Alligator mississippiensis: one gene and its partner. The protein of the gene in region 2 binds, or shares a complex with, the protein of the main gene of each other region. Links are inferred from orthologs where the notes say so. Each region holds a gene or a part of one and is shown on either strand. Other genes may lie near its edges.

Region 1 (7,597 bases), on a different chromosome or scaffold from region 2:
TCAGTGCACCTCTAGTATCTATAGACTAGGGAGTCAAAGACAGTGTCCCTTGGCTGAAGCACCAGTACCAAAACTGGAGGCAGTTAGCAGGAAAAAAAAAGGGGAGGGAATTGCTTATTGTTTCCCAGGTGGCTGACCCTTGTGCTCTATTATGCAGGGTTTACTGGAAGGAGGTGCACTATGAAGCACAGATTTGGGATAACAGTAGTGCAGGAGCCCAAAGAAACACTTCCACAGCACATTTCCTCTTACCATCTTCTGCGGTGTTGAGTTTCAGAGACTGGCCCTTGAAGCTCAGCTGCCCTCCGCCCACCTTGGTTTTTGCAAGCGACTCTGCTAACTTAGTAATGTCTTCAGATGCCATTTTTCTGTGCTTCACCAACCTTCAAGAACTGCCAGTTTTAAAAAGGAATCACTGAAAAAAAAGAAAAAAAAAACAACAACAAAAAAACATACATCTAAACCTCTAAGAAATAGCTTACCCTAGATTACAAATATCAGCTCAAAATAGCATTGCCCCTATCCCTCCACTTTTTTGGCATGAAACACTAATCTAAGTCTTGCTGTCAGGTTTTGAAAGACATTTGTCAGATGCTGTTGAAAATTCAACTCTGCAGAGAAGAGTTTAGACTTAAAGTTTAGACTGTAATGGAGTCATCAAGTTCCATAAATAAGACTGAACTGGGACTGATCTTAATAAGATCCCATTAAGACACCACTCTATTCTTGAGAGCACTCTTTCAGAATGAGAAAGGGATTACTGCTTTCTCCCTATAGCCATATCCTTTAATATTTATTAGTAACCATGATCAGTCCATCATGTTTATTTTCTCTTTAAACTAAGCTAGAATGAACATGGATACATTTTCTTTCCAGTTACATCCCTCATCCCTGCTAGTACTCACATCAGCACCTTTCTGGAATTAGACTGTTACTCAACTGCTACTAAAAAGGCAACAGTGAAGCTGGGTACAAAGGCACCTCAGGATTTTTGAAGGGCCCCTCCTAAGTGGCAGAATTTTCTTTACCACCAGTGATGTTGAAGGGGGGGGGGGGGGGGGGGGGGGGGGGGGGGAAATAGCCCTCTATGGAAGAGCCTAGTAAGGAAATAAGAATACTAGTTTAAAAACAGGTGACATAGAAACAAGTTAAGAGTGATACTGACATAAACAACCCCCAGATAGTAAGGATGTTAACTCTTATGTAATGGAAGGGCTCAGCCCAATCTGTGCAATAATAAGGCTACCACCTTAAGCAGCAGTTATGCTGCATTTTCAGTCGGTAATCTGGAGATTAGATAAGTGTCATTTATTCATCTCTTGCACCATAAATCAGGTTTCAAACAGGCTGACAGGGATAAAAGCTTACTCTAACAACTAGAAAAATTAACATCTCCAGTCAGTTCCTACCCAGCCTAGATTTTCATATGCACACAAGTTTTTGTCTCCTTAAAGCCTCTTCCCCAACACAGACTTTCAAAATTGGGCCAAACTCCCCAACTTGAGTTTGACACATCCTCTTCCTCTCCCCACCACCAACCTTCCATGGTGCTACGAAAAAGTGTTCACCCCAACACTGAAGCCAGTACCTTTCACCAGCATTCATGTATTTTAATACTCCCTCTGGACCTAGAGATGGGAAAAAGGAAGCTGGTGCCATGGGATTTGCTCAGTTTCCATCCCAATGTTTTATCAACACCAAAAAAAACTAGGACATGGATCCTTCAGACTCATGCCACTCATGCTAGTGCTCATAGAGATGGCCACTGTTTCTAGTTGCTGTGGATTTCTGTTTGTGCTGTAGTATTGCTGCTATTGTTTTTTTGCTGCTGCTAAGCTGCTGTGCTTTTGTGCTGTTTGTTTATGCTTTGCTATGCTGCTATGTTCTGATTGCTGTTGCTTTTGTTTGTGATGTCTGCTATTTCTGTTGCTGCTGCAGGCATAGAGATGGCCCAAAACACTTCACTCCTACACCAGGCCACCCAGACGCTCTGCCACCAAATTCTTCCAACCTCTGCCAGTCCAGAAGCAGATCAAACAATAGCATGTGATCCGAAAGAAAAACCAAGAGATTTTAACTAGGAACCCAGTGTCAAAACCACTCTGACATGCTGGGGTCTTTCAGAAGAACTGCTTTATTATTTTGCCATGGGGGCAAGAAACGAGTGAAGGCGAATAACTGACGATTTTCTAGGGATGCCTTGAGCCAGCTCTTCGCCTTCACTCATTGCTTGAGGCTCCCCTGGCTAGACATGGGGCTTCTCTTGGGAAGGGCCAGATCCTCATTTTTGCTTTTCTGAGGCCAGAAGAAACAGGAGCAGCAGCTGTGCTTCAGGGAACGCAGAAAGGCCACAATGCCAGGCTTTATATTGCAGATCACTCTGCAGCACCCAGTGCTACGTGCCACCCTGCCGCCCTCTCGGAAGGGCCTCAAGGCACCTGGGGGTATAGAGGGCAGGCCGTGCCCGCCCCCAGGGTCAGAAGTGCTACTCTAGAGCCTCGCACCCCGCAGCCTGGGCTCCCTGCTCCTTCCCCTCATCGGGGCAGGGCCCCTCCTCCCCTCCCACACCCCTCCTTGGAGACGTATGCCCCAGGGACCTCCCCCACCCTCGGGCTCCTCCGCCCCTAAAGGGCTCCCAAGAACTGTGGCTGCTCCAGAGCCCCACAGGGGGGTCCCACGCTGCTGCCCTCCCCCCAGGCGGGGGGGGCTGTGACGCAACAGCCCCAGCGCACGGCTGGCATGACTCACGGGGGGGGGGGGGGGGGGCGGGGCACTGCAGGTGACGCGCGGGGTGGGGGGGGAGAGGAAACCCTCCCGCACACTGGGGCGGGGAGAAGGGAATCGAGCCGTCGGCAAGGGACAGCCCCCCCGCGGGGGACCCCCGAATGGGCGCGCTGGGGCTCACCTCCACCACGCGTGGGGGCCACCCGGCTCCGACCCGTCACACCACCGCCGCCGCAGATGATGGCGAAAAGGGAGGCGGAGGATTTGAAACCCGGCAGTTTTGTTTCCCGCTTTCTGATTGGCTCCCGGGGCTCCTCGTGGCGCAGGCGCGCCGCGCTCCACACCCTGTTCTCCCCCACCCCCCTGCCGCATGCTGGGAGTTGTCGTTTAGCTGGGGCGGACTACGAATCCCGTGAGGTAGCGCGCGGGCCGCCCTGTCGCGAGGCAGGCTGGGAAGGGTAGTTCTAGCGCCCTGGTAGGACTAGGCTTCTTTGGCTCGGAGAGCGAGGAGTGAACAGGCCGAGAATCCCGCCATGCCTTGCGCACGGCTAACGCTTCTTGGCCGAATCTGGATCACGTGGTCTTGGGCTGACTGCGTGCGCACTGGGGGTGGTGCCTCGAGATTCCAGAACCTTTCCTCCCTTTTGCTCCCTCGAGCAGATGCAGTGGTGCAAGTTCCTGAGTGTTGTGCTGTAGAGCTTCCAGCACTGTTGGCTACCTGGGGCGGGCTTGTGTGTGCAAGGGCCTATTGCTGGAGGGGATAGCCCTTGTTCCCCCATAATGGGTTATGCTAAGGGTGGCTGACGTTTTGCCAGGCCCTGGGAGAGCAAGGGCCCGGATGCAAATTTAGGGGTGTAACAGCAAGGTTGTATACCCAACCGGAGCTCCCCTAGCACTGCACATTAAAGAGAACCTTAACCAGAACCAAAGCAGTTCCCATCTGCATCCAATAAAGGAGCCTCCAAAAGCTTGTGCCTCTTGGAATGAGTCTCTAAGAGACACCCTAGTCACTGGCAGAAAAACTCAAGGGAGCTACCAGCAGTCATCCTCCCTCAGGAGCTCTACCACTATACCAGCCAACCTAGCAATAAGAAGGTGCACCTTGGAGGCCCTGCTGTAGATTTTGGGTACAGGACAGGACAGGTGATGTGATGTGTCATCATCACACACAATGCAATGCACATGTTTCTCCTTAACTGGAGAAAATAGAAGTTTGACTATGCTGGGGGGGGGATAGCACTTTATTTTTCAGTTTAAGCTCAAAGCAGAAACAACTACAGCTATTGGAATGTGCACTAATTTGCTAGAGTTTATATCGAGTTTTTAAAAACAAGCAACTAGGCAAGTAGGAGTCCAAAGATACTGTCATTAGTCTTGCAGCCATCACAGTTGAATCTGCACAAGCAATGTGGATTTATAAACTAAAACTAGCTTCTGTGAGTGGCTTGCCAGTGTCTTCACTATCAGTCATTTCTACACCTGAGTTAATATTACCATACCTGAGTTAAGGTTTTTACCTAGATTTTGGGTGCAGCAGGAATCAAAGAGGGTACAATTGTACCTGCCCTGGATCTGCCTGCTATTCCTTGCTGCCAGGGCTTGCTAATCTGGTTTATGGGGCTCTGCCACCTATGCCGGCCAAAGCAGGAAGTGCTGTGTAAGAAGGACCTCATCAGAGTTACTGCCTGGGATCACTGCTCTGGCCCAGGCAAGTGCTTCTAGGGCAGGGGTAGGCAATTATTTCGGGCAGAGGGTGACTTACTGAGTTTTGGTAAGCCAGGGACAGATAAATATTAATTTTCTACATTTTTAGGGGCCCTGCGGGCCGGCTAGAATGGCCTAGAGGGCCACATTTTGCCCAACCCTGTTCTAGGGATTACTACTCTGGGTTGCTGTCTCCAGGAGATGCCCCCACTCCATTGTTACCACCAAGAGATGGCTTTTATTGCTAGGAATCACCACTTCTTTGCTGGGGCTCTTTGGGTCACCTATGCAACCTCAGCTTTTTTCAGACCCTGTTGTACTGCTACAGAAGGCTTGGGGATTTTCAGCTCTTACAACTATAAAGAGTATAAGGTTTTTGCTTGAACCTGCTATAAGGACTTGTGTTTAGAAGCCCTTTCCCTTAAAGACTTGATGAACCACAACATCAGCCAGGGAGTAACACCTACCTGGAATCTCATTCACTTTTCACACACAAATATACACACACATTACTCAAACTGAGAACCGGCCCACTGCAGAGCTTTGCAGAGGTCCCAGTGAGTGCTGTCCCTTCAGTGGCCTTTGTGTAACTTTACATTAGCAACGTGTGTGCCTACAAACTTCACAGTTGTAGAAGGCCCGTGGACACAAAATCTGATCCACCTGCCCTTGACAATTGCCCCACCAACAGGTGCAAATAGCCCTCAGAAGTCCACACATGCATACTAATGAGGGTATGCAATTAAAGAATACACAAACTTACTGTTATAGAACATAGCCATAGCCAAACATGCAGAACATAAGGTAGGTTATATATACATGGAACAAGACCATCCAACGCAGGGGGTTGGAGTGGAACAGCTCGTACGCTTTAAAATTAAACCTGAGTTTATTTCTGAAGAAGGTGGGGCAGGGCAGCACTTTAGAGACTAACTGGGTCAAAGAGGCATGAACTTTCATAGATGACAGCCTACTTAATCTGCATCCGATGTAGGAGGGAGTTGCTTATTAAGGCTTGTGCCTCTCAGAACAAGTTTGTTTCTAAGGTGTTGCGTTCCCCTGCCTTCTGCCTATCTCCAGACTAATACAACTCTCTTATTTCATGCTGCCTTTCCCCCATAGGCAAGCCATAGGAGTCAGTGCAATGATTTATATAAACTGTTGAAGGAGAGATGGGAATGTTGATGCCTGATCTAATTTGTTTGTGCAGAAGGTTGGAGACAATAACAGGAGCAGAATTGCAAACCTGATCCATACAACTCTAGTGACTGCACAGTTGCCACTTTTTATTTGCTATTTCTTAGTTTCATTTAAATTTTCTCAATTCAGGCTTGGCAACATTCAACCTGCAGGCCAGATTCAGCCTGCAAAGAGACTGGATCTGGCCTGCAGTGGAGAGCACCTTTCCCACTCTGTCATGAATTTCTCTGCTATGTGGCACTGATCCCCTCTTCAATGCCCTACCTGATGCCATCTCAGCCCTCCCTGGTTTGTACTGATGGCTGCTTTGTGCCTACTACACCTTCCATTTACCTTTGCTGCCAAATTTGACACTCCCCACTGCCACTGGTGACAGGAATCTACAGCACTCAATGAGGAGGGTAAGCAGAAGCTGCAGTAAGTGAGCTTGAGAACAGCCCTCATTACACAGCAGGGAGGGCTGGGGCACTGGAGAGGATAGGCAGCTGGCAGGGGTGGCTGTGTCACAAGCAGTAGGGCTAGCAAGATATTAATTGGTCTCCAGGTCATGTTCACAAATGTCATCATAATTCAAGTCAATAGTGATAATATTTTTTATATTAGGCAATGATCTTTCAAAATCATTACAATGTAATATACATAAATATCTCATGATGAATTAATATGACAGAGTAGACAAGCTCCTCCGGTATGTAGCGTTCCCTGAAGAAAGTGATCCATTACTCAACATTTTTTCAGTAAATCGTAAATCAGATCTCTCTACAGATCTCTGTATTTGGAAAAAAAATAATTCATTTAATATTTTGCTGTCATGCTTGCATGACAGGAAAAATGGGCATCCAGAGAACTGGTAGAATTTCTGTCACATTTAAACTTTGTTTTCCAACTCTGACTTTTGTATATCTGTGTTATTTTTTTTACAATAGAAAAGCAGTGTCTGCTACACAAGTATAAACTATGCAACAGTGTAGTTCCTGGTAAAATACACTTGGCACAGCTCTCCTCAACTTGTTCCAGTAGGGATGATCTTTTTTGGCTGCTACCCACAGACACTGACATGGGTTTTATTTCAAATGACAACTGCAGCAAACTGTACAATGAACCCAGTTGTTAGGCACAGAGATTGCTAATGGGTTGGTTGGATTTGTTCTGCTCTTTAACCCTAACATATAATGGGAACATTCCTCACATTTACTCTTGAATAACTTCACAAATAGAGGCTTTAAGAAAAAAAAAATTTTTTTACATGACTCAAGATAATAACAGCAAGATTAGACAATGCTGTGACAATTTACTATGCTCCTGAAAGCTACACATATTATGCCTGAGCAGGGCAACATAAGATCAGGCTTTTACTGGTTTACTTATCTGGGTTTAAAGGCATGATTTTTTTTTTATATCAGCAATGATATGCTGGAAAAGCATTGGTGGCTAGCGGCAAGCATGTCTTCAATCTATGAACAATCACAGAGTCACTGATATAGATAAGTATGTCAGACACCCTTCATTCTGGCTAAACAGAAGAAACAATTAAGCCTTTTTAATGAATAAAATATCCAGAATAAAAGAAGCACTGTCCACATGGAAAGTCTGAATAAGAACTAACTTGAGGTGAATAAGAGGGGTTTCCCTGATAGGTGATGGAAAACTCAGGGGTACCAACTGGATTGCAGCTGTTTCTAAAAGTCATGAAACAGATAGAAAAAAAATGCTTTTCCCTATATAGCTATAACCCTTTAAGGCACCTTTGCACCACATGACTGAGTCCACACTAGATAAATCAACTGACAGTCCCAGAATTTCCAGGACAGTCCCAAATTCTGGGGCTGTCCTATTCCTGGAATGGAACTCTTATCCTGTATTTGAAACATCAGTTCCCAGATTAGAACCCATCCGGGCAATGATCATGAACTGTTCAATTGCATGGTCCCAAACCAGACCAGCTGCCATCAGGTCCAGACAGGCATAG
Region 2 (7,915 bases):
TAGTTTGTGACCATTCAACCTCATCATCTCTTGGGGCGCTCTGGTGAACAAACGTTCCCCCAGATACTGGTGGTCACCCCTGATAAACTTGTAGGTGGCCATCTGATCACCCCTGAGCCTGCGCTTTTCCAGGCTAAAGAGCCCCAGGGCTCTCAGCCTGTCATCGTAGGGTCTGCTTCCCTGACCTCTGATCATGCGCGTGGCTCTTCTCTGGACTCTCTCAAGCTTCTCCACATCCTTTTTGAATTGTGGAGCCCAAAACTGTGTGGATGCAGTACTCCAGCTGCGGCCTCACCAAGGCCGAGTACAAGGGGAGAATGACGTCCCGGGATTTGCTTGAGAAGCATCTATGGATGCAAGCCAGCGTTTTGGTCACTTTACTAGCTGCAGCATTGCACTGCAGGCTCATGTTCATCTTGTGGTCAATGATGACCCCCAAGTCTCTTTCTTCCATAGTGCTAGCCAGCGTAGCACTGCCAAGCCTATAAGGATGCTGCGGGTTTTTCTTCCCAAGGTGGAGAACCTTGCATTTATCGGTGTTGAACACCATCAGATTCTCGTCCGCCCACTTGCTGAGCCTGTCCAGGTCAGCCTGGATCACCCGCCTGTCTTCTGGTGTGGATGCTTTGCCCCAAAGTTTGGTGTCATCGGCGAACTTGGCCAGTCCGCTTCTGACTCCAGTGTCCACATCATTAATGAAGATGTGGAATAGTATGGGTCCAAGGACAGAGCCTTGGGGGACCCCACTGGTCACAGGACACCATGATGAGTGACTTCCATCGATTACTACCCTCTGGGTCTGAACACGGAGCCAAATTTCCAGCCAGTGGATCGTGGTGGACCCAACGCAACAATTGGCCAGTTTCACCAAGAGGTGATCATGAGATACCAGATCGAAGGCTTTTTTGAAGTCAAGATATAGGACATCAATCTCTTCTCCCTTGTCCAGGTGATAGGTCACCTGGTCGTAGAAGGAAATTAGATTGGTCAAGCAAGACCTACCCGCGACAAACCCATGCTGGCTATCCCTTAAGATGTTGGCGTCGGCCAGTCCATTAAGGATGGCCTCCTTAATAAACTTTTCTAAGATCTTCCCTGGGATAGAAGTCAGGCTGATGGGCCTATAGTTTGCCGGATCCACTTTCCTCCTTTTCTTGAAGATAGGCACCACATTGGCCTTTTTCCAGTCTTCAGGCACTACACCAGAGCGCCGAGAGTTTTCAAAGATCCGTGCTAGAGGCTGGGCAATGATGCTCGCCAGCTCCTTGAGTACCCTGGGGTGTAGATTGTCAGGGCCGGCTGACTTGAAGGTATCCAGCTTCTCAAGATGTTCCTTCATGAGGTCAGCATTAATGGAGGGCAGGGGATCACCCTCACCCGGAATTCCCTGTCCCGTAGCGGGCATGGGCGTCCCATGGGACTGTTGAAAGACCGATGCAAAGTACCCATTTAATAGGTTGGCTTTTTCCTGGGCATCAGTTGTCAGTTGCCCCATCTGGTTCAGCAGGGGTCCAACGTTGCCCCTGCTTTTCCTCCGGCTCCCCACATATCTGAAAAAGGACTTTTTATTGTCCTTGATGCTCGAAGCTAGTTGGAGTTCAGTTGCAGCCTTGGCTTTCCTGGTATGCTCCCTGCAGGACCGGACCAGTGCAGAATAATCCTCCTTGCAGGTGACTCCCATCCTCCATCCTTTGTAGGCCTTTCTTTTTAGCCTCAGGAGGTCTGCCAGGTCCCTGGAGAGCCAGGGGGGCTGCTGTGCCCTCTTGCTGCCTTTCCTCCGAGATGGAATAGACTTAGTTTGTGCATTGAGGATCGCTCCCTTGAGAAGCAACCACTCTTCTTGAACTCCCCTCTCCCTGTGGTCACGGTCCCTTAGGGCCTCACTGGCAAGCCTCCTGAGCTTGTCAAAGTCGGCCTTCCTGAAGTCAAGGACTTCCGTGTTGCTGACTGACTTGCCAGCTTTTTGACGGATGGTGAAGGTGATCAGCTCGTGGTTGCTGTCACCCAGCTTCCCATCGATCACTAGGTCGCCGACTAGGTCATCCCCAGTAGCCAGTACCAGGTCGAGCAGCGCTTTGCCTCTCGTTGGCCCATAGACTTCTTGAGTCAGGTAGAGGTCATCCATGAGAGGAAGCTTTGCGACTGCTCAGATTTTGCTGAGCGATCCTCCCACGAGATGTCTGGGTAATTGAAGTCACCCATGACAACCATGGTCCTGGAGCATTGGCTGATGGAAACAGCCAATCAGAGTGCTCCAAGTGTGGGGGAGCGTTGTCATGATTTCAAAGCCATGCCGAGGATTGGACAGAGGGTGGGGGAGCTGAGGGCAACAGCATTGGCCTTGGCTCTCCCACCCTGCTCCCTGCAAGTCGCAGAAGAGTGGCAGCATGGGTCGTTAGGTGAGGGCGCTCCATCCCAGCCCCACCCCCCCATCATTCTTGATGGGCAATTGGCTAGTTAATTATAATAAGTACTTTGGAAGGGATGTTTATGCCTTAAGATTTAAATCAATATTAGAGGATGAAACCTCATATGTGAAGGGCAGATTATCCTGCAGCTGTCCTCCAGGGTTTTCAGTAAAATCGTTTTATACATTCCTTTGAGACGTCTGGAATTGGCCCCTTTTAGACTAGATGAACCTCAGGTCTGATCCATGAGGAGAAACGTTATGTTCCTATTCATTGACAAAGGGGCTCCTTAGAATCCGCGCTACAACATCCCTTCCTGTTCGTCAGCAAGTCTTGCGTGTTCTCTACCTCTCAACCTGTATGATTGGATGAAGTCGCATTTACTTTTTTCAGTTTATTATTCCAAGAAATATAGTTGTGATTTTTACTGTGTATTTTGTTAATTAAGATCAAGTACTGCACTTGATATGTAAAGCATTGTAAAGTATTTAATAAGTTTAACTAGCTTATTTAATTACAATGTGACTATTATGCCCGTAGTAAAATCAGTTAATTATTTCAGAACAATATTTGGGGAATCTTACAAATGGCTTTTAACCAATATAAAGTGATCGACCAAAATATTTCCTGGAAGTATCTGTATCCTTGTCAAAAGCTGCAACACTTCAGTTAGTTTATAAGGTGCATCTCCACCCTGACTTCTGCCTGACTTTAGGCCAACAGGGCTACTACTTCTCTTAAGTCTACAGTAATGTGTTTTATGGTCTCAGCTCTCGGAAGAAAGGTTTGATTTAATGATCTCATTACAGGGGAAGAGAAATATGTAAAGTTGTGATATTTTACCAAAAGAAAACGGAAATATTTTTCATTCGTAGTGGAGTTTTATAGCACACAAAAGCTGCAACGGACTGCAAGGTCTTTTTTCAGATCTTGATTTTAAACATAGTGAACATCATAGGGTTAATAAGAAGTAGCAGACTATGTTTGTGCAGCCCAAGGGATCTGAAATACTTTAAAACTTCATAGGATCACAGGAAAGTAGGGCTGGAAGGGACATCACAAGGTCATCTAGTCCGGCCTCCTATTCAAAGCAGAAACACTCCTGACTAAACCATCCCAGCCAAGTGTCTGTCTAACTTGCCCTTGAAAACTTCCAAGGATGAAGATGCCACAATTTCTCTCGGCAGCCTGTGCCAGTGCTTGGCCACCCACAGTGCCAGAAAATCCCGACTAATCTGTACATTTTCCCTGCTGCATTTCGAGGCGTTGCTCCCAGTCCTGTCCCCTAGGGCAGCAGCTCTCAACATTTTGCACCTTACGTCCCACCAACCACTTTGTCAAAAAACCCTGGTCCCACCGCGATAAAAACAAAACCCCACTTTTTTTCCCCAAGAAGTGTATTTTTACGTCTACACGCACTTTAGGGACATTAAAAATTGCAATAATTTTGTTGAGAAAAGTCCCACCTACACATGGGCAGCGGTCACAGGGAGCTCCTGCAGGCAGCCGCGGCAGTGTCAGTGTCAGTGGGGGTGGCAAGCACGGACCAGCCGCCAGCGACCACCCGCAGACACCACCAGCAGCGGCCAATAGCAATCCACGACCGCCTACAGACGCCGCTGCCGGTGGCGGGCAGCGACTGCCCACCGGTGCTGCTAGCGGCGGTGGCGGCAGCCGATCGCAGGGGTGCACCACCCATCTCAGGGGGTGCACATGCACCCTGTGCACCCTCTACACGTCGCCTGTGACCTTCACGTCCCGCCGGTTGAAACGCTGCCCTCGGGTCAAGGAGAAAAGCTCGTCTCTCTGCCCCCTCTAGGTGCCCTGCAGGCGTTATGCACCCCCCCCCTCAGTTTTCTGGGACAAAAGTTTCCTAAACCAACTTGACCCGAATCAGTTAAATCTGTTACCACGTGCAACCAGGTTAATCTTAAACCCGTTTCAGCCATTTTGAAGCTGGGTGCCGCGCACGGAGCTGCTGTTCGGTTTAGGGTGGCATCGCGGAGGACCGTCCGGTTGTCCATACGAACCCGGACGCCTTGACATCCTCTTATTTACCTCCCCTAACCCAAAGCCTAATTCTTCCAGTCTCTTTCCCTCAGTTTCCTGTCATTCGTGCCCTGTCCCCCCTAGCTTGTTGTGCGACATCTCCTATCGATTGCATTGCTTCGTGCCCCCCTTCCCCAACGGAGGGAAATCAAACGAGCACGGGGGGCACAACCACAACGGACTGAAGGAGCATCTTGAAGGACAAGGAGGGAGGCCATGAGAGGAGACGACTGGGGGGGTCTGAGGAGCCCGCCGAAATAAGAGGGCGAAAGGATCCAGTTCTTTTTACTGATTGTACTCTCCCACCCCGCCGCCCTGAGGGGGCTTCACGGCGGGCTCCCCGCGCGCGGGAAAAACTGAGGGGGAGAAGGGGGCGGGGCGCGACCAACGAGCGCCAGGCGGCGGTTGGGCTGGGCGCGCGGCGCATGCGCGGGGCGGGCGCCGGTCACGTGAGCGCGGCCCCTCCCTCGCCCGCCCTGTGTCCGCGCCGCGTCGCTCTCCGGGTATTTGAATCGCGCTTCCGCCATCTTCTTCCCTGCGTCCAGTCACGGAGCCCAGCGCCGCGGACAGACGCCTCGGCAAGGTAACGGCCGACCCCCTGCGGCGGGCGGGCGGGAGCGCGGATGGGGCTGCGGCGGGGCCTAGTGCGGCCTGCGCCGCGGTGAGGGGGAGGAGTGGGGGAGGGGGAGGGAAGGCGGCTCGGCTCGGCACGGCTGTGCTGTGCTCAGTCATGGTGGCGGGAGGCCCGCGGGGGCGCGGCCGCCATTGCCGGGCTGTGGGGCGGGAGGAGGATGAATGGGCCCGGCCGGACAGGCGCGGCGGAAGGGGCGGGCGCGGCGCACGCGGTCGGGCCTCCATCGCCCGCCGCCTCACTCCGCTTCCGTCCCCTCCCGCAGACCCAGCATGGCCGCCCAGGGAGAGCCCCAAGTGCAGTTTAAGGTAAGGAGCCGCCTCTCCCCCGCCCGCCCGGGGCCACCTGCTCTCTTCCCTGAGCTTTTTATCTTTTCGGGCGGAGGGGGAGGGGTACGGCTCTTTTCTTTTTCCTAGCTCTTCGTTTTCATTCACGTTTTCCATCCGCGGCCGGGGGGACGCCGCAGTGCTCCTCACGCTCCTGGCTCGCCGGATGTAGACGTCTCCGTCGCGCTCCTCGTAACCCGGAGGAGTTTAAATCGGGAGGTCCCGCGCGAGCCGCGGAGGAGTCTCAATCGCGTTTCTTTTTTTTCTTTAACCCATTTTAAATTAAGGTGCCCCTTGGGAGGCTGCGAAAGCCACGGAGGAGTCCCGATCGTGTTTCTTTTTCTAACCCACTTTCAATTTGCGGCCTTCGAGGGACATCCTGGAGCTGCCGGACGAGTCTTGATCACGTTCCTCATTTTACATCGGGGCGCCCTGTGGAAAGCGGCGCAGGAGTCTTGATCGCGCTCCTTTTTTAACGCGAATCAGTTAAAGTTTAACATCTCCGTGGCTTTTTGTGGCTTTCCATGGGGCATCTTTAATGGTTTGTGGTTTTGAAAAAAAGAATATGAATCAAGACTTGTCCAGAGGAAGGTTACAAAAGCCATGGAGGGGTCTTGATTGACGTTTTTTTAACCCGAATAATTTTAAAGATCTTTGGTAGAAGGGTACAAGAGCCGCGATCGTCTTGATCGCGTTCCTTTTTTTAACACAAGCCAATTAAAAAGATGTCTCGTGAAAGGCTACAAAAGCCATGGAGACCTTTAATTTTAATGGTTCACCTTAAAAAAAGGAACACGATGGAGATGATCATGGCTTTTGTAGCTTTCCACGAGACACGAGTCATCTTTTTAACTTCAGTGTTAGAAAAGGAATGGAAAATCAAGACTTCTCCATAGCTTTTTGTGGCCTTCCACAGGGCAAGCCATGATTTTTTGGCGCACTTTTTTTTTTTTTTATCATAAACCTTTAAAACTAAGATGTCCAGCGGAAGGCTGTAAAAGCCATGGAAAAATCTCGATTTGAGTTAAGCTCTCCACGGCTTTTGTAGCCTTCCATGGGACAAGTCTTGATTTACGTTCCTTTTTAACCTGAATAATTTTAAGATGTGCCGTGGAAGCCAGAAGTCTGTTAATGGAGCTCATCCTGATGCCTTTCATGATTCAAGCTAAAACAAAAGATACAATAGCTGACACGGACCAGTCTAGCACTACAGTATTTCAGTGCTTAACCCACATTGACGAACCCAGCCAATTTCTGGGGTTTTTTTGTTTTGTTTTGGTTTTTGTTTTTTTTAAGAGAAGAAAAAATTGTTCTAACATGCATTCTTCAGGCTAATAAAAATAGTTTGGAAGTGCTAGTCACTGACCTGTCTGCCCTTTAATCTGGAGTTTCATAGACATTAGGGCTGAAAGGGACCTTGCAAGATCATTGGGTCCAGCCCCCTGCCCAAGGGGCAGGAAGTCAGCTGGGGTCAAAGGATCCCAGCATATAAGCATCCAAGTATTTCTTAAGAGTCCAGAGTAGGTGCTTGTACCACCCTGGGGGGAGTCTATTCCAGGCCTTGGGGGCTCAGGCAGTAAATAAGTTTTTCCTTCTGTCCAGCCTAAAACGGTCTTGCATGAGTTTGTGATCTTGTCATCCCTAGCGCTCTGGTGAACAGGTGTCCCCCCAGGTCATGATGCACAACCCTTCAGTACTTAGAGGCTGCCACCAAGTCACCCTTGGATACTTAGTAATGCATAAGTGGCAGAACCTAATTTAAGACTAGAATATGACTTCATGTAACAAGCACACAACACTAAAGCCATTCTAAGAAGTAAAATATATTAGTCAGGCCATATTTGGGAGCTCCTTAAGTGAGTGTCTAACTAACCTTCCTTGCCTAGAACAACTTGTAGGGCCTAGAGTTGTAATTTTAAAAAAACTACCTAAAATTGACTGATGCCTCAGTAGTTTACAGGAAGCTCCTAAAACGTGTTGCCTTCATCTGTGTTTTGAAATCTTTCAACAGCTTGTCTTAGTTGGTGATGGTGGTACCGGCAAAACAACATTTGTAAAACGTCATTTGACTGGTGAATTTGAAAAGAAGTATGTAGGTATGTTTAAACATTTGCATGGAGAATCCTAGTGCTAGTTTAGTTTAAAACACTGTTGGCAGGCTTTTTAAAGTGGAAATGTTTTATTGCAGCAACACTGGGTGTTGAAGTCCATCCTCTGGTGTTTCACACTAACAGAGGGCCTATTAAATTTAATGTATGGGACACGGCTGGCCAGGAGAAGTTTGGTGGCCTGCGAGATGGCTACTATATTCAGGGTAAGTTTTACAAACACTATTCATTAGCTTTGCAGCAGACTTCTAGGTATTTTGTCATCTTTGACAGCTTTGCAAAGTTGCTTGTGCAGTGGACCATTGCTTATGCATTTGGTGTGACATAATAGTAACGGCATTTAAGTTGACTTGCTCTTCAAAACAGTGCAAGACTTCTCGAGGCAGACTTTGC

Evidence for each region. The genes of interacting proteins can lie anywhere in the genome.
Region 1: the proteins of RAN (region 2) and RANGAP1 are in contact, whole or in part, in a cryo-EM structure (PDB 9B62), measured with the Homo sapiens proteins. The link is inferred for Alligator mississippiensis from reciprocal best matches to the Homo sapiens genes RAN and RANGAP1. Residues at the interface, in NP_006316.1 of Homo sapiens: Asp18, Gly20, Tyr39, Val40, Ala41, Thr42, Leu43, Gly44, Val45, Glu46, Glu70, Lys71, Leu75, Arg76, Tyr79, Asp91, Thr93, Ser94, Arg95, Val96, Thr97, Asn100, Lys123, Asp128, Arg129, Lys130, Lys132, Lys134; in NP_001265580.1 of Homo sapiens: Ser29, Gly58, Asn59, Thr60, Asp86, Thr89, Gly90, Arg91, Leu92, Arg93, Ile96, Asp121, Ala123, Phe124, Gly125, Asp127, Asn151, Cys152, Gly153, Met154, Gly155, Arg189, Asn190, Arg191, Gln217, Asn244, Asp245, Asn246, Thr247, Asp273.

What each region holds. Positions count from the first base shown.
Region 1 is NC_081827.1:97,402,947-97,410,543, reverse strand, and holds the start of RANGAP1 (ran GTPase-activating protein 1), read right to left. Parts: upstream 3,015-7,597; 5' UTR 2,906-3,014; intron 416-2,905; 5' UTR 365-415; coding exon 253-364; intron 1-252. UniProt on the Homo sapiens protein: GTPase activator for RAN. Converts cytoplasmic GTP-bound RAN to GDP-bound RAN, which is essential for RAN-mediated nuclear import and export. Mediates dissociation of cargo from nuclear export complexes containing XPO1, RAN and RANBP2 after nuclear export.
Region 2 is NC_081833.1:9,574,738-9,582,652, forward strand, and holds the start of RAN (GTP-binding nuclear protein Ran), read left to right. Parts: upstream 1-4,914; 5' UTR 4,915-5,040; intron 5,041-5,353; 5' UTR 5,354-5,360; coding exon 5,361-5,396; intron 5,397-7,425; coding exon 7,426-7,510; intron 7,511-7,602; coding exon 7,603-7,728; intron 7,729-7,915. UniProt on the Homo sapiens protein: GTPase involved in nucleocytoplasmic transport, participating both to the import and the export from the nucleus of proteins and RNAs. Switches between a cytoplasmic GDP- and a nuclear GTP-bound state by nucleotide exchange and GTP hydrolysis.